3 linked regions of the Caenorhabditis elegans genome follow. The protein of the gene in region 3 interacts with the protein of the main gene of each other region in a pairwise test. Each region holds a gene or a part of one and is shown on either strand. Other genes may lie near its edges. The genes, in order: col-10, tgt-1 and T19B10.5.

Region 1 (7,376 bases), 2.1 Mb from region 3:
TTGACGCAATCTTGGGAGACTGGGGCGCAGGTCAGTGGAGCGAAGGTAGCGGTGTTGTCGTCTCCCTTTGGTCCTGGGGCTCCTGGGGTTCCTGGGGCTCCTGGCTGTCCTGGTGGTCCTGGTGGTCCTGGTGGGCAAGTTGGCTTAGTTGGCTCACATTGGCACCAGGCTGGAAGTCCAGAGAAAGTTTGACGCTTTTGACGGAAGACGGAGTTGAATGGGTTGACACGTGGCTTGGTTGGTGGGGTAACGGTGATCTGGATGTCCATCATCTCGGTCCATGCAGAGTCGGTCTCAACACGGAAAACAGAGACTCCATCGAGTACCTATAAAATTGAAATTTTGTTTTAACTATTTTGTAAAAGTATATATATATAAACCTGATCGTGAACTTCATTGATGGTGTTGTAGAGGGATGGGACGGTGAAAAGAACAGCAAGAACAGCAATGGAGGCAGCTCCGGTAGAAAAGGTTACAAGAATCTTCTCCATGACTGAAAGCCTTGGTGTCTTTCCTAGTTATCTTGCCTCCTTTTATACTCCTCTTTTTGAATTACTCATACAGTTTTTTTTTGCATAGAGATGTGTAATGAAATATTCCATTTGTCTCCATGAACTCGCTTTTTTTCTTGTCTTTCTTGCCTCAACTTCCTCATTCAGAAGCCACAAACGAGGAAGATAGTAAAGTGGGCAGGCCGTAGAGAAAAAGCGGACAAAGATGAAATGCTTTTCTCTCAGTAGGTGATAGAGGAAGAAGGACGGACAACTTTCTCTCGAGGCGATTGCATGATATGTTGCGATCTGAATGTGTCAGATGGGATGTTATTTAGAAATATTTTGCGTTACCTTAAAATTCCTTGACTGGATGATAACATTTACAATTAAACCTCTTGGATCGCTCACGGGGTGCGCCTGACTGAATTTTTAGAATGGTTGTTGATGAATATGTAAAACAAAACATTGATGAACATTTTATATCTGGCCTTACAAAATGTAAGTCATTGCTTTATTAGACTCCGAAATCTCCCTCGAAAGCACTTCATTTTAAAATGAGATGTCTAGAAAGTTTCACAAAAAAAGTTATGACAGTTTGAAGATTGAAAAAATAATCCATTTCCGGGTAAAAACTCAAATTTTGTCAACTTGACAATGTTACGACTCGCGAAAACTAGTGTAAATTAATTATTCACTAGTCACTATTCGTATTGCATATCTTGGTATATTACCGAATATTGTTTCGCTGATTGAGGTATTTTGTCAGCCGATGGGTGCAAAAACCAGCAAAACCCTTGTACATGTGTATGCTCTTATTACTTGATAGGTACCTATAAACTAGTGTTCCTACTATTCGCAATCTCCATGACTGAAAGCCTTGATGTCTTTCCTAGTTAAATCGTAGAAAAATTGATAATTTCTCAAAGCGGTATTCAAATTTTCGACTCTAAACTCGTCCGAACTTGGCGAAACTTTTATCCCATTTCATCTTGTGAAAAAATTAGTGACCTTTAGTCACAGACTGCATAATGATATTTAAGTTACACTTTTTTCTAAGCCATTCTTAACAAAAACACACTTCATTTACTTTATGTTTATTACAACCAACATTTTTGTCGTCTACTAAACAATGAAACCTTTCAGCCTCTTTCCTCGCACTCTTGTCAGGTGGAATTACACTTATCTTCATGGCAGACCAAAAAGACAAAGTGAAATTTTTCGAAATGACTATTGAAATAAGAATGTCTCTCGTGTGTTCGGCAAACATTAACTTGTAGTTTGATGTATTATTAAAAGTAAAATTTGAATGAAAATGATTTTATTTTGATAAAAAGAAAAGAGACGATGCTTGTCTTGAACCAATCTAATGGCGGGAGACGAAGACAGCGGATCTTGGTGGGCAAGCGCAATAAGCGGCATCGTTTCCTGGAAGTCCTGGTCCTCCTGGGGCTCCTGGTTGTCCATCGGATCCAGCGTTTCCTGGGGCTCCATCTTGTCCAGCTGGTCCGGCTGGTCCTGGTTGTCCGTCTTGTCCTGGGGCTCCGTCTTGTCCGGCTGGTCCAGCTGGTCCAGCGTTTCCTGGGGCTCCTGGTCCTCCTGGGGCTCCGGATCCACGTTGTCCGTCTTGTCCTGGGGCTCCTGGTTGTCCGTCTTGTCCTGGGGCTCCGTCTTGTCCGTTGTCTCCTGGGGCTCCTGGTTGTCCGTCGGATCCTGGGTTTCCAGCGTTTCCTGGTGCTCCTGGTTGTCCGTCTGGTCCGGCTGGTCCGGCTGGTCCTTCTGGTCCGGCTGGTCCAGCTGGTCCTTCTGGGCACTTGACGCAGTCTTGGGAGACTGGGGCGCAGGTGAGTGGAGCGAAGGTAGCGGTGTTGTCGTCTCCCTTTGGTCCTGGGGCTCCTGGGGTTCCTGGGGCTCCTGGCTGTCCTGGTGGTCCTGGTGGTCCTGGTGGGCAAGTTGGCTTAGTTGGCTCGCATTGGCACCAAGCTGGGAGTCCAGAGAATGTTTGACGCTTTTGACGGAAGATAGAGTTGAATGGGTTGACACGTGGCTTGGTTGGTGGGGTAACGGTGATCTGGATGTCCATCATCTCGGTCCATGCAGAGTCGGTCTCAACACGGAAGACAGAGACTCCATCGAGAACCTATAAATATTTTAGATTAAAAAATGCAATAAATAATGAATAGTTATTACCTCATCGTGAACCTCGTTGATGGTGTTGTAGAGGGATGGAACTGTGAAAAGAACGGCGAGAACGGCGATGGAGGCAGCTCCGGTAGAGAGGGTTACAAGAAATTTCTCCATGACTGAAAGCCAGGTACCTTATTCAGTGTTACCCTTCCCTTTTATACTACCCTAACCGTGACGTTTCTTTGACAGGTAGCGTATTCTCTTCAATTCATATTATATTTCCTCAAATTCCATAGTAAAAGTAGGCGGTGCAAAAGACAACAAAATTCAGATGTTGATAAGCAAAAAAACAACGTACAGGGTGGGTGGCAGGCAACATCTTCTACGGCGATAAAAATTGCTTCTCTTCAAGTACGGCCGCCAAGGTCGCTTTCTCAGAAGAAGCTATGATCGGTACAAATCTCTAAACCTCTTCTTCTTTAATAGTGTCTTGCAATTTTGTGAATGGCATTCATTTATCGCCATAATCTCACCTTGAATAACGGCGTTTTGATGACGGAAACGGTGAAAAAGGAGAAGAGGTAAACTGAAAAAGATTCAATTGAATTATACAATGCTTCTCAACACTTTGGTATATTTCTATGTTCTGAAACATGACACAATGTCAAAGAATAAAACTCAATACAGAGGAAGACGTATACTGGATGTTGTGGAACGTCGTTATATTTCTTCGATTGAATATGTTAAATGTGTGATATTCAACAACATTAAATGATCATTAATACAATTATCAAGAGTAAAATACCCAAATAAATTAGGAATGGCTTGTTGTGCTTGTTGCCAAATTTGGTGGTTTTGTACTAGTTGTGTCAATTGGCGGCATTGCTTTGGAAATTCCTTGTCCAAGTACGAGTGATTCAAGTGTTGATCCAACTGCTAATCTACATTCACAATTGATTCCAGCTGATACCGATATTGGAATCAATTTCCCGCTGTCATTTCGTAGCACATTCAACTGTTGGGTTCCAGTTTGGCATGACGCGTATCCTGAAAAAATGGTATTTTCTTTTTCCCCCACTTTCTCTGTCTTTTCACTACCACTCAGACACGATGTGTCCGCATAATCGCACACGACTTCGTTAAGATATGCAGGATAGTAGGTACTCGGAAGACGTCGCCACACCCAACATGTACTACAAAGGGAAACAGTTCCTAATCCATCTGGAGTGACGCCTCGAGTTGTGCAAGAGATCGGAAATCGAATTCCTGTAAAAGACGAATTGCACTTTTCTGCCAAATGTTGAAGGGATGAAGATCTGGTTTGTCGACATGACTTGTATTACAGGGTTTAATGAAGGTTACACATCAAATCGGAGACTCTCTCAAGGTTGCATGCCGTTATCGAACATTGGTTTGTGGGTTCTAGTAATTTGAAATTGTTAGAGATTGAAAATGAAAAAGAAGATTGGAATTTGAGATGATGACCACCCGAGGGGAATTGAAATTCTCGTAAGGGAATTCACGACCCGGAAATAATTTTTTGAGGGAGAACAATACACGCATTTTGAGTAAAAATTTTTAAAAAAACCTTTGAATGGTTGTTTTCTTTTCATAATTATTTATGACGGTCACTTAAAATTATTGTTTTGAATATATCTTATTTTCAGAGTGTTGAAAAATATATACCAATAAGAAGTTTTTAGAAAAAAAATTATGTCTTCAATACAAACCTATAATTCCGGTTGAGTTCATTGCTGTACTGTTAGGTGGTTGTGAAATTGCAGTAGTAGCTTCAACGTCTCGTTTTACAATTTTCTTTAATACATTTCTCTTCTTCTTCCAAAATAATCCATCCCAAAAGTAATCATCATCTTCATCTTCATCATCTGAAACCTTTCAATTTGTACTTGAGAGTTTTTCCAAAAAAAGAACACTGAATGTTCTCTTACATTCTACATAATCCCAATCATAATGTTGTTTGGCTTTCTTTTTCTTCTCATAGACTCCTTTATCCTGTCTTGCAAATCTATATTTTTGACAAGTTGTGAAGTTCCGCTGATTGTGAAACACCTGGTCAATGGTTCCTGGAAGAAGACCGACCTGAAAATTGGAAGTGAACATTTCTAGAAGCGATTCTGCAAGAGGCTTCCTACTTTTCGCAACTGGCTTCTGAGATCTTTATAGCAATCACGGCATTGTTTAGTTTTGCAGTTGTTTAGTGTTGCAGTCTGAAATATTATAGTTACTTTACACTCCGAAAAAGCTTTAAAACAAATTTCCATAATTTGAAAGTTAATTGAGATCCGAAAACATAATGAAAAAAAAAGAATTACAGATTGTTGTGTCTTCTCTTGTCGAGTAATGGTAAGATCTGGGAATGCCACAATAGCTTCTTCAAGACTTGCTGCTTGCAATCGAGAATCGTAAGGAATACAGTTTGGAGGGGTGGATGGAGTTGTTGGTGGAAGACATTGGCACTGAAAACATTTGAAATATTTTGGGAACTTGTGTTTCGTGCTAATTCGGCAAAAACTTTGAGTTCGGAAGTTCAGATCAGCTAGTTTATACGAGATCAACTTTCGAATCAACTTAAAACTCGGCATATACCATTTTTTAGTAGGTAGACGTTGTTGTATAAATTTGAACTTTGAACAAAACTACCCATTGCTTTCAATTTTTTAGAATAACAATTATCAAAAGAAAACTTGAAAATTAAAAACTAAAACAAACTACAAAAATTATAAATGCTTTGGTTTGAAAGTTGTATATTTGATTATTCACCTTTGGAGATGCTGGAGTTGTCGATTGTGTAATCAAATCATTAAACAAGTCAATTTTTCTCGGCATATCATACCGTTGAGTTCCAAAACATAAAGAGCATAAAAATACAAAAACTAGTAACTTCGACGCAGTCCGTCGACTCATTGAAGCATCTCGAGCCAACCACTCCGACTCCGTCTAGTTCTTGATTTCACACAGTAAGAAATGAATCAAAAATTTGAAATGAACTTTAGGCGAGAGGTGAGGATAAAGTGAGAGAATAACAAAAAAGTGTTGAGAGGGGACAAGTGTGGACTGAAAAAGAAAGTGGCACACTAATCCTGTCGGACGCTCGTTTATAAATCCAAACGCCTCCTGATTAAAATATAAACACATCGAATTCATTTCAAAACGATTTAAATTGTTACAAAAGTGTTCTGAATGGAAATGTTCGAAGAATTAATAGATGATCAATATCATGGTCTGTGGATTAAATATCAACAAAAGGCTTGAGATATATACAACAATTTATTTATAAGAAGACAAATAAAATTTAATTAGATGTAATTATTTCTTTGAACAGAGTTCTTGAATTTTTTCAGCACTGAGTGGTGAAATTGTATCCACAAATTCATGAATACCATTTTCATTTCTCCAATTATCAATACAATTCATTATTGACGAATGAACTGCCCCACATGACATCATTAGTGGTGGCTCTCCGATTCCTTTTGACGAGTAAACTTGTGCTCCATTTGCATTATTAATGCCCAGAAGTTTCACTCTAAAGTCTTTTGGAACATCACTGGCTTTTGGTATCTTATATTTTCCTGCAGTGTTTTGATCCAATTGTCCGGTAGTTTTATTGAATGTAATTTTTTCGCAAGTTACGAGACCATATCCTTGTATGAATGCTCCTTCAATTTGTCCAATATCGAGGGCCGGATTCAAGCTTTCCCCGACATCCATGACAATATCCACACGGATCACACGATTGTATCCAGTTAGTGTATCAATTTCCATCTCTACTGCACATGCTCCAGTTGTATTGTAAGGAGACTCCATTTCACCAACACCGAATTTCGCCCTTTCCACTCTGAATAAAAAATGTATTTTTTTTTAATTAAAACCTTTTGACTAAATCGACTTACGTTCCGTATTCTGTACACTGTAGTGGTACATAGGCACCATAAGCTTCTCGGATAGACTTTTCCCATTCTCCATCGTTTTTGTCAATAATCGGTTGTAACCTAGACATGATTTTCTTACAACATGCCAAAACTGCCAATCCATTAGTATCTGCATTCTGACTTCCACCTGTTTCCGGTGCGTTTGTCACTTTGTCAGTGCTGCAATCAACTATGGTGATGGTGTCAATTGGTCTCTGTAATATTAGTTTAGTTAAGATGTTTCTAATTTTTATTTAAAACCTTCAATGCTTCACTGCAGACTTGTAACATTTTCTGGTTCAATCCTTGACCCATTTCAGTTCCACCAATTGATAATTGAACAGATCCGTCTAAATTAATCAAAAGACTTGCGATTCCGTGCCCCGTTGGACCAGGATGTGGAAGGCCAAAGCGAACTGATGACATAGCAATTCCTCTTTTCACAGCTGTTGAGTTTTTGTTGAATTGTTTGATGCCAGATTGTCTATTTTCAAATTCACTCCATTTTTTACAGTATTCCCAACATTCAACAAGCGCATCATTATGTATTTTTCCACCAAGGTACCTTCTTCCTCCTTCAAGAGCAAAATTGATTCTTTTAATTTCTTCTGTGCTCTTTCCAACGTCTCTAGCAATTCTTCTCATCACACCCTCGTTGATAAGTTTTGATTGTGGATTACCATATCCTCGAAGTGCCGTATTACTGTTTGAATTGGTTTTTACTGGGTATCCATCAAAACGAATTGTTCCCATGTTATACACATCATCCACCATGAGACCCATAACCATTGTGACTCCTTCTGAATGATCTTTTGACCATCCTCCGTTC
Region 2 (8,837 bases), on a different chromosome or scaffold from region 3:
TGCTGCTTTCGCTGCCAAGATCGCTGGAGCTTCCGAGAAAGACATCGTTCACTCTGGACTCGAGTACACAATGCAACGCTCCGGAGAAGCCATCATCCGCACCGCTCACAAGTACAACCTTGGACTTGATATCCGTACTGCTGCCTATGCCAACTCCATCGAGAAGGTCTACAACACCTACAGAACCGCTGGATTCACCTTCACATAAGTACCCACTTCTCACTCATCTCATGGCTCTTGTATCCTCTTTTATGACATCAAATGGCTCCAAGCCAGGTTTAAATAGCTTCGTGTAACCCTTTAGTGCCTTTTCCATAGTTTTCTGTTTCGAAACTATCTAGGTTAACTAAAGTCTAGCTCTGATCTTTTCTGCCTGGTTCGTTCTCACTTTAGTATAATTAAATATTTTATTGGTTCCCCACCCCTTTTCATCCCCACACATAATTTTTTCGTTGTTTGTTGGTTCGGGACGGTTTCGAGACGGAGACCATTCTTCAAAAAAAAATCTCAAAAATAATAAAAAGTTTATTTCCTTAAACACTTCTACATGGTCATTGCAATTTTCCAATGATCATTGGAAAAGAAATTTCAGGGAGCATTAAAAACTTTATCAGACTTGTGTCTTTCTATTTACTATAATTTAGAATTTTCGATAACATATCACTTTCACATTGTGTGCCACTATCAGCTTCAAATTTGGGAATCACCTCCACAATTGTTGCAAAATTTTCGAATTGTCTAAACGAAGTTGATGCTTGGCCGTTTCCATATCAGTTGATCTTTTCCGGCAAAACCTTCGTCGTCAAACTGATGCAATTCCTGGAGAGAATGAAAAGAAATGTTGAAAGATTAAATTGGGTGATCGTTTGAACGAAGCTAATCTGATTGGACAAAAAGAAGAAATGATAAAAGATGATAAAGACAGTTTGGAGGGAATCCCCCATTTCGGTTCGAAGTGTACGCAAATGTTTGAGGGAAATATTTAGAATTGGAGATTTTTTTGAATTTTTGCAGTTACAGAGAAATTTTGGAATGTGCATATCGTGTAGTTTCACAGATTTTAATAGCATACATTTTCAAGGCGCACGGATTTATTCAGACGGGTCTCGTCGCGCCGAAAAGTTTATGGTAGCCTTCTAAAAATTCAAAAAGACTACCATAAACTTACACTTTTATAATATTTTGGTCTGTGTTTGTTCCCATGAAGTTTCAGAAAAGGCGAACCAAAATAAATTATAAAATTTTAAATTTCAAAAGCTCAATAAAAATCCATATAAGCCTGGGTGGCCATCATCTTCATCATCATCTGACGATTTTTCGTTGCATTTTTCATCATCTTCTCACTGCCAAGTTCATTCAATTCCACACCGCTCGTTTCGTCGTCGACAGTCGACACTGCACCGCAACATAAAAAAGCGTTGGCTGATGGTCTGATCTTCTCTGCTTCTCTTCTCACTCTCGCTCTCTCATCCTCAACGATTAGAGACCCACGTGGGTGAGAGTCGCAGAGATATTTGCGGAAACCGATGTCATGGCGCGACGAAAAGAGAATCGTCTCGTTTTTTCTCGCTTTTGCACGTATAACAAGTCGAGGACAAAGAAAATGTGTTGGGTGGGGTGACATCTGAAGTCAGATGATGACCGGGAGATGATTGGGGGATTCCCCTTAAATCATAGGATCATGTTTTGGCTCGAGGTCAGCTATCAGGAGGGAGCTCAGGGCCACGTGGTATTTTTGTTATGAGGAAGTTCGTCCTCTATTAAAATACAATAGGTTAATATTAAGCTGGGGGTCAGCGATTAAGTCATTAATTCTGAAACCGAGATGCAAGAGCGCTCCAACGCCAAACGAAATCGCTCCGCCCCCAAACGTTGAGTCTCGTTAGGTATTTCGTCGACTTTATTATTATTGGCTTTTTCGTCGTGAGACCCATGGTGCCATACAAAATATTATATTCAAAAGTAACTTTTTGATTTCTGTTCCAGTTGTAATAATACCAGACATCTCTACGGAAACAAACAACGTGTGTTTCTTATAGTTTCCGTTGATTTTTAATTACTTTATTGTTACTGAAACCCATTACACCACCATGTTTAGTGTTTCAACGAAATTCAGAAGGACATCGCCGTGGGCATTCTCTTATTTATGTCTACCGCACGCCAATAGGTTCATTATTTGCCCTTTCTCCCCCTGTACAGTTGCAAATTGACTTTCACTTGGGCTCTCAGATACAAAATCATCAGTGAAACAAACACGTGGCGATATGATGAGGTAGTTGAGAAAAGAGTTCAAACAATCAATTGTGGTCGAGGAGGAGAGATAGGCGGCTCTGTGCTCGAGAGAGAAAACCATTAGAGAGCTCACTGAGTTTACACAAACTCGAAAAGCAGCACAAACGAAATAGCACGAAACGTTCTGTATGTGGTGGTGGTGTTGGCTGGGGGAGATTCTGTAGAAAAAGTTTCGAGTTTGAACTTTCGGTCCTAAAGGGAACCACGTGTCTAGAGATAAGAAGCCTGACATTGGAATTTTACGCGATCTGGAATAAAATTTATTATAATTGATTGATAAGATTTAAAAAAATGTATATGATTCAACAACAATTCAACAATGACGAATAAGATTAACAACAAAACAAAGAAAATCAAAAATCAAAAATCAAGCTTATATCCCATATGATCTACAGCATCTCTGACCCATTGAGGAACTTCCCTCATCTTCTCAGAATCTTGTTTCGATGGATTTTCAGATTGAATTGGTCCATAATAGTCATATAGGAATTGCTTCAGAAATTGCTCAACAGAATTCGATTGAATCGCTTGACGAACGTCTCGCATAAGATCCAGTTGATGTTTGATGTTGTGAACTGATACTAGATGACATCCTACCGTTTCCTGGAAAATTATTGAGATTTAATTAAATTTAGCTAAGAACATTCTCAAATTTGTTCAAAATGGATCTATTGAGACTTGAATTTTTTTTAAAATAAAATTCGACATCAAATAGTATTATTGAAATGTCCAAAACTTTGCAAAAAATCTGCAAAAGTCTAACTTTTGTAGGGTGCGTTTATGAAACTTTTTTAAACGTATTTTGTCAGGACTACGGTAGGCCCGATAATGACGGGATAACAGGTAAGTAACTATTGGAAATTGTGTTTAATTTTGCAAATGGAGACATATTTTTGTGATGCTTTTTTCTCTATTATGTGTAACAGAGAGAGATTTTTTATTGATTTTTATGGTATTTACTTTGACAAAAGTTTTTTTTTGGTTTCATGGTTTTGACAAAAAAAATTGTGTTCGAACGTTATTTTTATTTTTTATAATGTCGTTTCTAAAAAGTGGTCTGAATATTTTCAACGTTTTACGGCAAAATCTAATTACGTTTTCAGCTGTAAATCATTACAGTTTTGCAAATAAACGGAAACATGGAAAATTTTGAATTTTTTAAATCAGTAAGTTGAAAAATACATTATTTTGAAAAAAAGCTCACTTTTCCAACAATCGAATGAATATATGCTCTCGTATAGTTCTTGCATGTATTACATTCACATTTCTTATCAATCGGCAAAAAATCTTCCTTATATCGTTTCTGATTCAATTGCATCAATCCACCTCTTCTGACCATTGCTGTTCCAAATCTTGCAGTTCTTGTTGGATATACACAATCAAACATATCAGCTCCCAAAAATGAACAGATTACTAAATCAACTGGAAATCCAACTCCCATCACATAACGAGGAAGATGAGGGGGTAAAGCTGCACAGCATGCTGCCACAACTCTCCAGAAATGATCCTTTTCTTCTCCTCCAGATAATCCTCCAATTGCAATTCCAACTTTTGCTCGTTTCGCCATTTCTTTAGCACATTCTTTCCGCAATTCCAAATTAAGACCACCTTGTAGAATTGGAAACATCGCTTGATCATCTCTTGTATGAGCCACTTTACATCGATCAAGCCATCGAATACTTCTATGCATTGCTTCTTTTACAATATCACCAGTTGTCAATACATGAATTACATGATCCAACTGCATCATAATATCAGCACCAAGTGCTTGTTGAATTTCAATTGATTTTTCTGGTGGTAAAGCCATCATCTCTCCGGTATGAGGACTTTCAAAATTCACTCCATTTTCATCAACTGTCATGAGTTTGCTCAACGAGACCATTTGGAATCCTCCAGAATCAGTGAGAATTGAACGATTCCAGTTCATCATTTTATGTAATCCACCAGCAGCCTTAACTCGTTCATGACCGGGACGATGTCCAAGATGGTACGTGTTGCAAAGGAGAATTCGACAATCCATCGAGACTAGTTGTTCCGGTACGATTCCCTGTAAGTTTATTATATATGAAACTGCATAAACTCGAGAAAATATTTTTTTAATTTTTTTCAGGGAAAATCGAAAAATGAGAATCTGAAAAAAAATGTTCATAAATTTAACTTGCTGTAAACTTCATAAAATCTCTACTTTTCAAAAATTTGAAAAAATTTTCACTGAAAGTTAAAAAAAAAACTAACAGGTTTTATTTTTTGTATTATACTTTATTATGATCACAAACAAATTTCACATTTTTGAAAAAGTTTTTTTTTCAATTTAGAATTTTTATTCTTAATTTATTCCATACCTTCATAGTTCCCTGTGTTCCAACAGGCATAAAAACAGGCGTTTCGACGATGGAATGTGGCAAATGAAGATTTCCACGACGAGCGAATCCTGCTCTCGCCAGCACGTCGTACCTCATATCTGCCTGGCACGTCGGGAGCGGTTCCGGTGTCATTGGAGACTTCACTTCGTAAGTTTTTTTTTCGTTAAAATAGGAAATAATTATTTTTATTCCAAGTATAATTGGTTATGACCTTTAATGAAGTACTGTAACGGTAATTTGTTTTTTTATAATATTCATTGAATTCGTTTGTTTACATATTTTTTACAAACTAAGATTACCTAACTAAAAATTATTTTCGTTCTCATGTTAAAATTATTTGGAAGGATGCGGATCTAGAGCAAGAAACGGGAGAAAATGTGGATTTTATGTTACAGGGAATTTTTGAAAAGCAGATGGCAACACTATACTCAAAATACCGATGTCTGGGAAGTAATAGAGTAAATGCACAGGATGAAATAAGACTTTCTGACTATATAATTATGAGTGAAGGGAGTCGGGACAATGTATGAAATGGCAAAATGGGAAATACAATTATTACACCTTTGGAGGCTTATTGAGCAATTATTCGGAAGTGGCGGCAGGAATTGGAACACCGCCGCTCTGATCTGCATCTAATGCTGAAGAGGGATCGCAAACTTCGAGAATGGCACGACCTTCAACCTCCGACATCGACAATTGCTTCAACACTGCAGACGCTTGATCGACTGGATAAACTCTGTAGTCTGGAGCATCGATTTGGCCTCCGGCAATCAAATTTACAAGGTTTTTCAGTTGTTCGATACTTCCTCTGGAAATTTTGTAAATGAAATAAAGAAAGAAAAAAACTTCAAATAGTACCTCGTAACTCCCATAATGGCCAGTCTGTTTTTAGCAACGTGCTTGATTGGAAGTTGAACATCAAGACCGGAAAGACCTCCAACAAATAAGACACCACCTTCAGCGAGACACTTCAATGATCGAGTGACAGTTCTTGGAGATGTCACAAAATCGAAAACAACATTGACACCGGTACGAGCCACATCCTTAGTTCTCATAATCAGATATTCTTCAAATTCGGAATCATCCCAGTGTACTACAAAGTCAGCTCCGTTTCTTTCGGCCAGAGACAAACGTTCTTCTTTGGCATCAGCAACCATCAAACGGATCTTTTTATCATTGTTGATCGCTAGGAAATGCTTGGCGAGTTTAAGAAGCCAAAGTCCAAGTCCTCCTGCTCCCACGATAAGAATATTGCAGAATCCCTTTGATTGTGAAAACGCTTCGACTATCGGTCTGGCCTGGAAAAAATTGTTGATTAATACTGAAGAAAAAAACCGTGGAAAATGTCAAACCTGAAGAACAGCAGACAACGCCCAGGTAGCTCCAGCAGGCAAAATAGATGCTACATGCATTGAAAGAGTTTCTGGAATTTTCACAAGAAAATGGAGAGTTGGAACAGCAACATAGTCGGCATAACCATGACTGCACATCTCATCAGTTGGCCATACGATTACTTTATCTCCAATAGTCAGATCATAGTCACCAGGTGTGCATTCAGCGCCGAATGACTCAACAATTCCGGAAACTTCATATCCTGCAATAACGGATTTCGAAAATGTTATTTTCATTAGTTCAAGCCAAATTAATCTAAATTTCAAACCTGGAAACAAGCTGGTATCTTTGATTCCGTTGGTAATTCTTGCTTGCTTCGTGTTGGAAACTTCTCTATCAGTAAGGCAAACTCCTGCATAACAAACTTTAACGCGTGCTCCCTTTGGTGGGACATCTGGGATTGGCTCCTCGTCGAAAAACTTCACTTCCCGAAGATCCTTTGGAGATCCCAAAGAAATTCTTCGGTTTGTTGCTGGCATTTTCTGCAAGGAAAATTAAATTAAATAGGTTGAATAAACACTTCAATATCAATAAATTTGTTAACAAAGAATAAACCATCAAAGTGAGAGCATGGGTCACGTGTGTGTTTTTTGAAGAGACACAACTTTTTAGAGAAAAATCAATAGAATCAACATTGTAAACACTTGGAGAGAAATAAAATATTAGTGTTTTCAGTTTAAATGATAGAAAAATTGGTTCAATCACTTGAGACATTAAACTTTGTTGAGAAACAACGTGCCGAAAACAAAAAATCCGATTGAAAAACGGAAAGTGCGCCTAGTCACGATAACGGGGTCAAGAATGGCTTTGCGCACTTTGCGTGCCTTTTGGCGGAATTTTAAATACTAGTTTTTAATAAAGAAAACTTTTTTGCATTTTTCCGGCAAAATTACAGTTACGATTATTATGAAAGAATCTACTTGACTTACAATTAGAATTAGAGATTCAAATTAACTATTGATGTTTTGAAAGCTCTATCAACTTAGGCTTTTTGAGAATAAGCTTTTTAAGTAACCGGAACAACAACTAACTGACATAAACTTTGTGAAATGGAAAACGAAAATATTGCAGATGAAAAATAACAGTGGGAGAGTAACGAGACGCAGGACCCTACAGATGCCGAAGCATCTATTCGTCCCTCAATACATGTGCTTTTCACGTGCACACAAACGAATTTCATCATGACTTCTAGGGGAGAATGAGAGTAGAAAAAAATCTCGAATATTTTCCAAAAAATTGAAACATTTTTCAAAAAAAAAGTTCAAAAAAAATAATTTGAAATATCTCCAAAAAAATCCAATATTTTGCAAAAAAATAATTTGAAATTTTTCCATAAAAAAGTTCGATAATAAAATAGTTTGAGTACATCGAAAATGAGGAAACATCAATTTGTGGTTCGACGTTGTGAACATTTGAAATCAATAGATCATACACATTTTAAATAACTTCATAAACGTTTTTTTCCAAATCTATAAATGAATTAATCAACGTTTAGATACATTGGTTTTATCTTTTTGGAATCCCAATATCTTCAATGCAGAATTTCTGTGATCTGATAATGAACAAGTGATAACAACTGGATCAATTGCAGGATAAACGCTTAGTATAGGCACAATATATGTTGACAGTATTATGAAAGTATTTAAAAATTTCAAGAACTTATGAATCTATAACCTACACTCCATAATTATCACCGGCAAGTGGGAGGAACCATACAACAAATAAAGGGATGATTGTACTTATTAATGGAATTATAGTTTGCGCAATTAAAGATTTGAGAAGACTTGAATGTAATCTTTTCGTAGTACATGATAATGTGCATGCTTTCAGTGACAAGTGAATTTTTCGTGCAAAGAAAACATAGATGATCATAATAGAATTGGTGATAACTGCGGCTACAAGCATTCCCAGAATTCCACTTTTTGACCAGTCATTCACGGGGTACTGTAATTGTTTTTGAAGGGAACACTCATATGATATGATGAGCAAATATCATAGTACAGTCAGTCAACATTTTGAAGTTTTTTTTTAACTTTCCGTCATAAAGTGGTAATTACTCAGTTTTCACTTATTATGATTTAAAAAATTGATCAAGATACATTTTGCGTTGTATGACTTATTATTTGAAATTATTAATATATTCAAACATTATGCGAGGGCCAGCTTGCAACAATGTCTGATATTAATAAAAATGGCCAAACTTTTTGAAAATTCGCCAAATTACCAAAACGTTAACTGAAAACTTTAAAAAAAAACTAGAGCAAATTAAAATCGATATTTGGTCTTTTTTATATATTCTGAGTATACTTTCGTAGTATCCTATCTTACTATACTGTACCTTTATATTAAATGTCTTTCAACTTACAATTCTCACCTCATAATTTGCAACAATCATTGCCAAATCTCTACTATTTGTGTTATGAATTTCTTTGAACTTTTCATCAATTAGATCATATATGTGATCATCAGGCCACATAATTATGTGACCGATGAGCAGCCAAGAACTTCCAAAACACATTACAAATAGGGAATTGAGGAAAATAGTTTTTGGGCGGAAAAATTGGGCTATGGCAAGCGGTCTGGAAAATTTAGTTAAACAAATTAAATTACAGACATGCTTATAATGTCTCAAACCTAAGATTAAGAGAAGACAGTATCAGTAAGAAATTACCTGCAGACTGCTAGATATCGATATAAAAAATGAACAGCAAGCAGTGCAAAAGTGTAAATTGAGTAAATTGAGTAATTGAGTAAAATTGAGTAAATTAGGAATTAAGCTGCAAGTTGTTA
Region 3 (9,349 bases):
GATAAATTGGAGGCCATTCCGCTAATGAAGCACATGATGAAGCAGCATCTGTCTGAACCATCGCGTCTGTTGACTGTATTCCATTGGAAATAATTTCAAGAAGAGGTGCAATTTCGTCCACATGGGGACTGCATCTGTCTAGTTTCTCACAGAATAGAAAGACAAGCCACATGAGAGATCGATGAAGAATTATGCTCATATTTATCGTGCTCGCGTCGATTAGCTCTGAAACAATTGCACAGTCGAGAGCCAGATTCCGGTAAGTGATACTGCGAATGATAAAACATGCTATCGACTGAAATGTATCACATAGAATGTCTTCACTTGAACCATATGTCGAGATATTGAAAACCAGCGATTGAATGCATCTGTCATCGGAAGAGTACCTTTCGTATTTCACCTCGTCAATTCCACTAATTTTGAGCAATGTTCGAGAAATAAGCAATCGCGTCGTCTGGCTTATGACTCTAAAAAACTAATTTCATTTTTCTCAACTGCATATTCTTCTCTTCTCACCGGTTACAGTAGACATCTGATAATTTATGAAGAATTTGGACTTTGACGAGCACATGAATAGTCCACACCGTGTTGTTCAAGTTTTCGTGTAAAACTGTCAATGCTTCATGAATTGTAGTTTCCTGCATACTTTGTAAACCGTCTGCTACTGATTTTAATAATTCCGAAGTTTCCTCATGGCTCAAAGAACGCTGGACGGTAATTTGTCGATTTCTTTCGAACTTTTCGTCTCTGCGATTTTTCCTGATTTGAACTTCATCTTCACGTCGTTTTCTTCGCATCTCATTTTGATCACGCACTAAAAATAATACAATTTTATAAGGTATTACCTTAAAAGCTCACCATTCGATTTATACATTTTTGAACGCTCTTCATGCGATGGCCTGAATTCGTCTCCCATTCTGAAATAGCTTCAGTGAGATGAGAAATAACTGAAAATTACAATAATTAAAAGAAAAGACAACACTACAGCTCTCAAATGTATGTAATTAGAGTCAACACGTGACCAACCAGATTTTGATTTATTTATTTTGACCTCGAAAGAAATCTATCGGAGTTTTTTTTAGAAATTGTAAACCTGATCTGCAGCTCGCATCTGAGCGGTTTCAGAGTAATGAAACAACATCATAAAATATAGAAAAGAAGTGGAATTATTTCCCGCGTGCCGCCAGTTAGGTCAACGGAAAACAGTTTTCCAGTAACTACCGCATGCGGCGGGGTTGCAAAAAACCCGCGCACTGGTTGCGTGTCGATTTACGAGGCACCGCCTCCTCTACAAAAATACCAACAAAAACATTTGTATTGAATGTAAGCCGATTCGTTTATTTATTCATTTCTGTTCTTGTATTTTTTCAAAAGTTAGTTTTGAAGTTTACATATTTCTTTTTTTTTCCAAAATTTGGTAATGAAAACATTTTTGGTGTTTGGATTTTTAAAAACAATTAAAAATGGATCAAATAAAATGTGTGAGATGTTTCAATGTTATTACAATTGAATATAATTGTTTTCTCTGAATTTAATTAATTGTAATCGTTTTAGAAGGAGCACAAAAATGAATTTATTCCCTGGTATGAAATAATATTGCATTAATTGAAGTTATTATCATAATTAAAGTATTCCTCCTCTCTAATGGATAAAAGTTTACAGTATTCTACTCGATTTCCACATCTCCATCGTTCACATAATTTCCGCAGCCACAAAGAATGAGTCGCAGCTCTCTCGTAGACCCGTCTTTTGAACTTTCGGATCCGTGCCCGGATATTCACGCGTTGTTCATCCAGTTTGATGCAAGGTAGATTCATAATATTGAGGTAGCGAAAATAAATTCTCTAAATTCTAGGTTTTTCGGTGGATCTCTTGCCTGTTGCGAAGTGAAATGGAGTCCCCGTATGTATGCGTGAGTGAAATTGGGAAGCTTTGTTGGCGTTGCTTGACAACCGAGCAAAAAATGGCGTCTCCGAGTGGGCACACTTCACAAAATATTTTATTGATCACTTTTCCAGATGTGCCGGAATATGTTCATATGAAATTCGTGGTGGTCGTGGAGGACTTTGTTCGATTCGGCTCAGTAAACCCCTGTTGACATTAAGACCGAGAAGTGATCTTGTTGAGACCCTGCTGGTAACTACAATAGTGACATCACAATCTTAGATTCAAGCACATTTTCAGCATGAAATGATCCACGCATATCTTTTTGTTAAAGAACGAAATAGAGATCGTGATGGTCACGGCCCACAATTCCAGGCCCATATGCACAGAATTAACCAAGCTGGTGGAACTAATATCACGATTTATCACAGTTTTCATGACGAAGTTCGGCTTTACAAACAACATTGGTGGAGATGTAGTGGACCGTGTAGAGACCGTCGCCCATTTTTTGGATATGTGAAAAGATCCTGCAATCGAGCACCCGGACCGAATGATAGATGGTGGAGTCAACATCAGCAAAGCTGTGGAGGTTAGACTTTATTTTTCTAATAAATATTTTTTCATTTTTTACATTTCAGGTAACTTTCTGAAAGTTAAGGAACCTGAAGGCTATGGACAAGGAAAAGGATCAAAGAGAACAAACGACAAAAATAAATCTGGCGGCCCCGCTCTTAAGAAAACTATTACTCCACCTAGAGTGACGCTTGATGACTTCTTCAAAAAGGACGGCAAAAATTCTTCGGACAATTCAACTTCAAAATCTCCAACTAAACCATCAACGTCCTTATTCACTGGGAGTGGTCAAAAACTTGGAGGTTCTTCTTCCACTTCATCGCTTCTTAATTCATATCCAAAAGCAACTCAAAACTCTGGTGGGAACCGACTTGGTGGTACATCTGGAGGAGTCAGCCGCCTCCTTCCACCTGTTAATTTCACTTCTCCTTCATCAGCACCAGTAGCAGAGCAAGTCATAGATCTTGGAGACAGTGACGATGATGATTTTCAAGATATGGACGATGATGCTTTGGAAATTTCATTTGTCGCTTCGGACAACTCGGTGATTTGTCCTTCGTGTAACACGGAGGTGATGGAAAATTTGATTCATGGACATCTGGATTACTGTCTCGGGTGAAGCTATCTATACTCATGTAATTTTTATTATGTACTACACTTATCTCAATCCCATAACATGTCAACAGAATTTTACGGTTAAGAATATAAAGATTCATCCACTGAACAAGTTTTTTTTAAAATAATGTTTTTATTTATATAAGATTTTCGTGAAAAGGCAGTAAATCTGTACAACTTGACGAAAGGCAAGAGTAAGTGCACTTGTGTCTATGATCTGGAATTGGAAGATGGAAGCGAGAAAATGGAAGATAAAAATAAATAAATAATATGTCTGTGAAATACCCAAAAGAACAATTTAACAATCATCTTGTAGTGGATGGGATTCATAAAACTCCCAATTTCCTCAATTCCTCTCTCTGCCTCTCCAATTCTGCGTCGTTCGCCATCAAACGGTCACGCTTCTCGCGTGTCAATGTACCGTATCTGAAATCATAAATTCAAAATGAGCATTCAACATTTTCAATTCCATACTTTTCATTATCTGTGCTGGGGGTCTTCCCTACTGTAGCAGTTACTGTAGATGTGATGCTTGATCTTGACGGTGTTGGAATTCCAGATGTGTGTGCAGTTGGTGGAGAAGAAACGTCACGAGTTTTTCGTAAATTTCCTTTCTTTTCTTGGTATAACCGACTCCACACATTGTCGTTCTGAAAAAAACCAATATAATAGTATTAAGTTTTAAAATTAATACATACCTTATCAGCACTGTGACTTCTTTGTGTCACACTTTTAGGTAAAGATGGCAACTTTCTCTCAATAACTGGAGTTTTTATGCTATCTGATCTTTTTGGAATCCTTGAAATTCTAGCTTCAGTAATCTCTGGACCCTTTGAATCATCCTCTTTAATCTCGACTGGAGCTATTTCAACAATCTTTTCGACTACAGTTTGATCTGGTGGTGGAGTCTTAGTCTGTGTTTCCATCTCCTTTCTAACTGGAATTGAGCTGATTGGTGGTGGAACAGGTGCAATTGGTTTTTCAGTCTGTGTTGGTCTAGTTTCAGCGGAGAGTTGGGTTGTTTGAGTTGAATCTTCCACTTGTTGAGATTTCTTTGGACTAGTTGCTCTGCTCACTTTTGGAGAAGGTGGTGGTTTGTTAACTGGTGATGGTGACTGAAAATTTTAATTTTTTTTCTGATCGAACTATTTTCAAACTTACTCTGGAAACCATCTTTCTTGGTTTTGGAGGCAGTTCGGTGCATTGCTCCAACTTTCTCAATGGTGGCGGAGTTGGAGACTTTACCTTATCAAATATGATATCAGTAACTTCAATTCTATCGCTCAATGTCTTTTGTGTTCCATCACTTGCTGTGCTCTCTCGACAATCCGATATTCCATCACTACCGTAATCACTGCTATCCATTCGACTGTTATCAGCATCACGAGCTTGACTGTTATCATCTGCACAAGTTGTAGAGTCTGGCTCGATGATTTCTCTCTGTGGTGGCAATGCGTGCTTCTGTTTGGAATCAGTTGAAGTACATCTTTGTGGAGTTGTAGCAATTGATGTTGGAGTTGAAATGGTTCCCAGTGGGTTAAAGTGGACATGTGTAAGAGTATTGCTTCGGAACAGTGGGTGGTATCTCATTTCTTTGTCTGTTGAATACAACTGATAAATGTCTAATTGATAAGAACGTTCCACTTACCATCATCACTATCACTGACTGATGCAGAATCAGAAAGTTTTCTTTCAAGCTCGAGCTTCACCTGAATAAGAATTGATGATGCATGAGTAGGAATATCGTTGTGAACTTACCTTGTATGGAGAAGAATAACTCAATAGAGTAACTGCATCCTCATAAACCATATTCTCAAAGTTAATAGTTAAAGATTTGATTTTGTCTCCAACTAAAATATTTCCACATTGTTCAGCAATTCCCTTCGAGATGATTTCTTTCACGAATATTCCCTCATTCATATTTCCTTGAATATTGAATCCAAGTCCTCCAATATCTACACCACGTAGTTGGACACCAACTTTTCCCTCGACCTCATTCAAAAATTCCATAGAGTATGCTTTCTGAGTTCCTGAATCTTCCATTTTCCTTTTCAGCTTGAATGAATCAATCATTGTCATTTTGTCCTTATTAATTGATTTTGGAGCATCACATCCTTTATCTTCGACGTCACAGGCATCGTTGGCATATGCTGATTTTTCATCTGTTTCTCTAATTGTACCTGAAAACTTGTTATTAAGGTTGTCATTTGGTACAAAAAGTATTGTTTTTTTCAAATCAAAATTCTTCATTATTTGTATTTTGATTTTTCGTCTTTGTTTCTGAACTAAAAGTATCTTCATCTTTTGCAATGAATTCATATTTTTGCAAACATTTTATTGGAATGACAAAACAGTTATAATTCAAGACAACCTACTCTGCCTTTTGCCTATTCGCATGCCTACTGCCAAAGTATACATAACAAATTAGTTTAACTGTTTAATTCTATAACAAGCCGCGGAACCCAGTAAGTTCTAGACACTGATAAGCACGACACTTTGCATCTGAATTTGTCAGAATATTCCCAAACTGCAAAAGAGCGGCAGGTAGGTACGTGTGCCTGAATGAATTTCTGCCTACCTTGTGAGTTTCTATCTGATATGCACCTAATTTTCTCTGTGTGGTTTTCTGTAGCTTTGAATTATATTTTTGATAAAGCTTACCCAAATTATTTTAGAATACATAGAAGAATATAAAACTCACTTGATCTTCTGTACCAAATGTATAAAATAATAGCAAGAGCAGCTGAAATCAAGAAAGCAGCAGCAACAGATCCAAATATGACTCCAAAAAGTTGTCCCCTGCTAAGACATGTATCATCTGCCATTACATATTGTACAAGTGACAGTAGTAAAAGCAGTGATGTAGGTTGACCACCCATGATGTTATGTGGAATGAAGATCTGAATACAGAAAAAAGTTGGATGAAAAGAAAAAAATAGTTGAAAAAAGGAAAGAAAGGATTGGTAGCAGCATGAGGGTTGCGGTTCGGCGGTTTCTTTCAACGACTTTCGAGATATTATCTGCGCTAAATCTGTGAAGAAATAGTAGAGGAAAACATTGAAAAAGAGGAGAGCATTGCGGGAAATAAGAAAAGGTAACACGAACAGTGAAGAGATGTCAAATGTCAAATTGAATTTGTTTCCAAGGCGATTTATGAAGGTTAGATATTGGAAAGTGTCCAAATTTGCAATTATCTGGATATCCATGGATATTTAAAATGTCTTATTAACATTGGAAAAAAGATCAACCATAAGTTTCAATTAAAAAATTTCTACAAAAAGGCATCTCTAGGAGTTTTTTTTTAAGTTTAGCAAAATCGGGCATTTTCACAGCGTTGATGGGATTTTTAGACGATTCGATTTTTTATGCACCGGGCTGTTAACTAGTATATACGTTGAGCATATTATTTTACCCATTAGAAACACAGTCGTTTTGTTTTCAATTCAACGACTAAACAGTTTCAAGATGCTCACGAAATTCAGTAGGCAAAATGTTCTGATAAATTTCCGAAATTAAAATGAGAGAAAGTTGAAATATTCCGCAATCATAAAATGATAAATTACGAGGAGACGGATAAAAGAGGCTATAGGTCAAATTAAAATGAACAGATTGCATATGTGAATGATAAACAAATCATCGTTATCAAAAGTTTCCTGGGGACATTCCGAAGTGTCTTAAATACTTTCAGTTTCTAGTCAACCTACATGTAGCTGAAAGGGTAAAGTTTCAGAGACAGTTACATCAGAAATTGACTACAAGGGACAGAGTACTAGAACATGGAACATGGAGCTTCAGAGCATTCTAGTGATTCACTGATAGTACAAAACATCTGATAACGGCTAGAAATTTACATTTGATAATTAAAAAAAATACTCGCAAAAAATAACTTTCTGGATAGAACAAGTGATGAAAACTATTATGAAACAGACAATTAAACTACATAAATACAATAAAGAAACTGTATATAATTTGTAGTTTTCCGTTTTATTATTGCTTTGATTTGACACGAAGCCACTTTCTGTTGTCCGAAAAACTGATCGTTTTGTTATGTTTTTTGAAACCAAATAGTACAATGATATAGGAGATACAAAGATATCTCGGATTGTTCATGCAAATGAATATATATTCGGAAAGTAAGGGAGAGCGGTACGACCTTGAGTAAGGAAAGCAGCAGGTGGACACAAGAAGAGACAGTATTTGGGACGAGTGATAAATATTCGTAGAAGGGAAAAGTGTTCCGTGCTGAATCAAGAAGTAGGAGATGAAGAAGTGCGGAATCAGAAAGGGCGGGGGAGAAGCTGTTGATTTATTATATTGTTTCAAAGTGTGAGAAACTGATGATGATAGGAAGGGATTTTATTATCAGATGGTCAAGTTCATTAACTTTTTGGTAATCTCAGCAAAAGTTTTTCTACTATCTTGTTCTCAAACCTATTTGTTTTACGATATTTTTAAAATAAGGGAAGCTGGACAAAACAACATATTACAGACTAGACATTCCAACCGGTTTCCCAAGGTATTTACCTTTGCAATTTATTCTTATGGTATTTTTCAGTTAGTTTTATTTGCTCACTTTTTTTTAACATGCATTCCCGGAAAAGCTCCGAAGGTAAAAGGAAAAGAACGAGTTTGAGACGTAGTCCGTGGTATCTATATTGTTGGCAATTTATTTTGATATTTTTATACATAGTAGATACAGTATTTTTCTTATTAGACTTGCAAATCTACTATGACGGCTTATATTTTTTTATCTTTGATTTTATTTTAAATTTTTGAGTGTTGTTAAAGTATTGATAACAGTGTAGAAGTTGATTAAAAACCCAAGTTTACCAAGATATATGCAGTAAAAGTAAAGTGAGCTGCAATGCTAGTAGGAAATTACGGCAGCTTTATATTTCCAGAGTTTATGAAAATTCAGAAGTGGAAAGTTGACAAAGATAATTTTAAAAACATTTTTGTTTGAGACAATATTCGAATATATCTCTTTTTGTGCCCTTTCAATAGAAAAAAGGTATGTGCTTTCAGAGGAAATTTATGAAGATCAAGAATACACAAAAATTAATTTAATTATTTAGGAATTTTGAGTGATAATATTATTCTGAACATATTCACTGGTTGTTTCAAAACAATTCCATGAACTCTAAAACAAATGAGCAGATTGAGTAAACTTAAGAAATCAAATCATTCGAATCGTTTTTATAGAGTTTTGTGAAACTAAAGGACAAAGGGCACAGGAGGAGATTATGCTGATTGACTGATAAACAAAAAAAAACGTTCATTTCACTATTTTTTGCCATATAGAAAATGATAACTTTTTGATAACAATGAATAATCTTGAACAGAGGTGGGCTAAGCTGATTAAAATTTGGGTAAAGTCCACATTTCAAGAATAAAAAAAAGTTCAAATCGAGTTACAGCTACACTATCAATCAGATTTCTACGTTCTCATAAAGTTCTGGAGACAACGTTTCCTTGACTGTTTCCAAGGAAGATCCTAAATCAGAATAAGCGAAGAAGCGGTTCAAATGTTTCATCGAAGCGTGATGAATTTGATGTCGGGATCCCGCCAGGCAAAACACAGAGAGAAAGAGAGATCGGTCGCGCTGCAGGACGCAATAATCCTATTACACAATCGACCATACATGTTCCAATTTCCCAGATACCTACTTTCCATTGTCCATGACCAAGAGTGAAGCTGATACCTTAAATCGAGCATGTTTTGAAAAAATGCCTACACTAACTTTCCTACTTCAAACATATAAGGTTAATATTTCCATTACTGAGCAGCAAAATTTGTGAAACCATTCAGGACACGAAACAGTCATTTAGATTTGCACCTTTGCAGAAAAAATTAGTTGCGTTAAACTCTTAGGCTGTCAGGCCAGACTATAGGTCAGAATCTGAGTCTTAGGAACCTTTCAGTTTAAAATTTGAGTTAAAAATGGAAACCTAATTTTTCAGCAGTATCATAGTTTTTTTTTTCAATTGTTTTGGTATTCTTGGAAATAAATAGACTATAAAGTTTAACTTGTAGATAGGTTTCGAGAATGGCGCGCAATAAAAAACGAATTGAAAAAAGTTGGCAAAAAGTGTCGATAGCAATGAAAAATCTATCCATCATCTTAACATTATCATAAGGAAACACGAAAAAAGTGACAGGGAGAAGGGTGGGTCTTTCCCTCTCATTTTCTCTCATTTATCCAAAAGAAACTTGTTGGAAACAAAACAAACGGAGAGAACAGAAGGACAAACGTTCCTCCTTACATAGACTGATAAT

What was found.
Region 1: the proteins of T19B10.5 (region 3) and col-10 interact in a two-hybrid assay, tested with the Caenorhabditis elegans proteins (one large-scale study listed by BioGRID).
Region 2: the proteins of T19B10.5 (region 3) and tgt-1 interact in a two-hybrid assay, tested with the Caenorhabditis elegans proteins (one large-scale study listed by BioGRID).

Annotation. Positions count from the first base shown.
Region 1 is NC_003283.11:9,162,499-9,169,874, forward strand, and holds col-10 (Cuticle collagen 10), read right to left. Parts: upstream 2,810-7,376; 5' UTR 2,793-2,809; coding exon 2,682-2,792; intron 2,632-2,681; coding exon 1,858-2,631; 3' UTR 1,794-1,857; downstream 1-1,793. Other genes in the region: col-145 (Putative cuticle collagen 145), read right to left, coding at 1-326, 381-491; B0222.11 (uncharacterized protein), read right to left, coding at 3,433-3,665, 3,717-3,884, 4,349-4,504, 4,568-4,718, 4,772-4,846, 4,952-5,095, 5,400-5,543; putative aldehyde oxidase gad-3, read right to left, coding at 5,946-6,474, 6,530-6,762, 6,809-7,376.
Region 2 is NC_003282.8:11,955,007-11,963,843, forward strand, and holds tgt-1 (Queuine tRNA-ribosyltransferase catalytic subunit), read right to left. Parts: upstream 4,799-8,837; 5' UTR 4,788-4,798; coding exon 4,635-4,787; intron 4,340-4,634; coding exon 3,497-4,339; intron 2,896-3,496; coding exon 2,653-2,895; 3' UTR 2,541-2,652; downstream 1-2,540. Other genes in the region: gdh-1 (Glutamate dehydrogenase), read left to right, coding at 1-208; ZK829.7 (Enoyl reductase (ER) domain-containing protein), read right to left, coding at 5,238-5,463, 5,514-5,953, 6,008-6,249, 6,316-6,526. UniProt on the Caenorhabditis elegans protein: Catalytic subunit of the queuine tRNA-ribosyltransferase (TGT) that catalyzes the base-exchange of a guanine (G) residue with queuine (Q) at position 34 (anticodon wobble position) in tRNAs with GU(N) anticodons (tRNA-Asp, -Asn, -His and -Tyr), resulting in the hypermodified nucleoside queuosine (7-(((4,5-cis-dihydroxy-2-cyclopenten-1-yl)amino)methyl)-7-deazaguanosine).
Region 3 is NC_003283.11:11,231,273-11,240,621, reverse strand, and holds T19B10.5 (PDZ domain-containing protein), read right to left. Parts: upstream 5,973-9,349; 5' UTR 5,952-5,972; coding exon 5,774-5,951; intron 5,253-5,773; coding exon 4,831-5,252; intron 4,782-4,830; coding exon 4,721-4,781; intron 4,671-4,720; coding exon 4,234-4,670; intron 4,188-4,233; coding exon 3,771-4,187; intron 3,723-3,770; coding exon 3,547-3,722; intron 3,499-3,546; coding exon 3,399-3,498; 3' UTR 3,190-3,398; downstream 1-3,189. Other genes in the region: ima-1 (Importin subunit alpha-1), read right to left, coding at 1-467, 517-814, 859-916; DNA-dependent metalloprotease dvc-1, read left to right, coding at 1,719-1,807, 1,856-1,912, 2,019-2,136, 2,185-2,473, 2,523-3,076.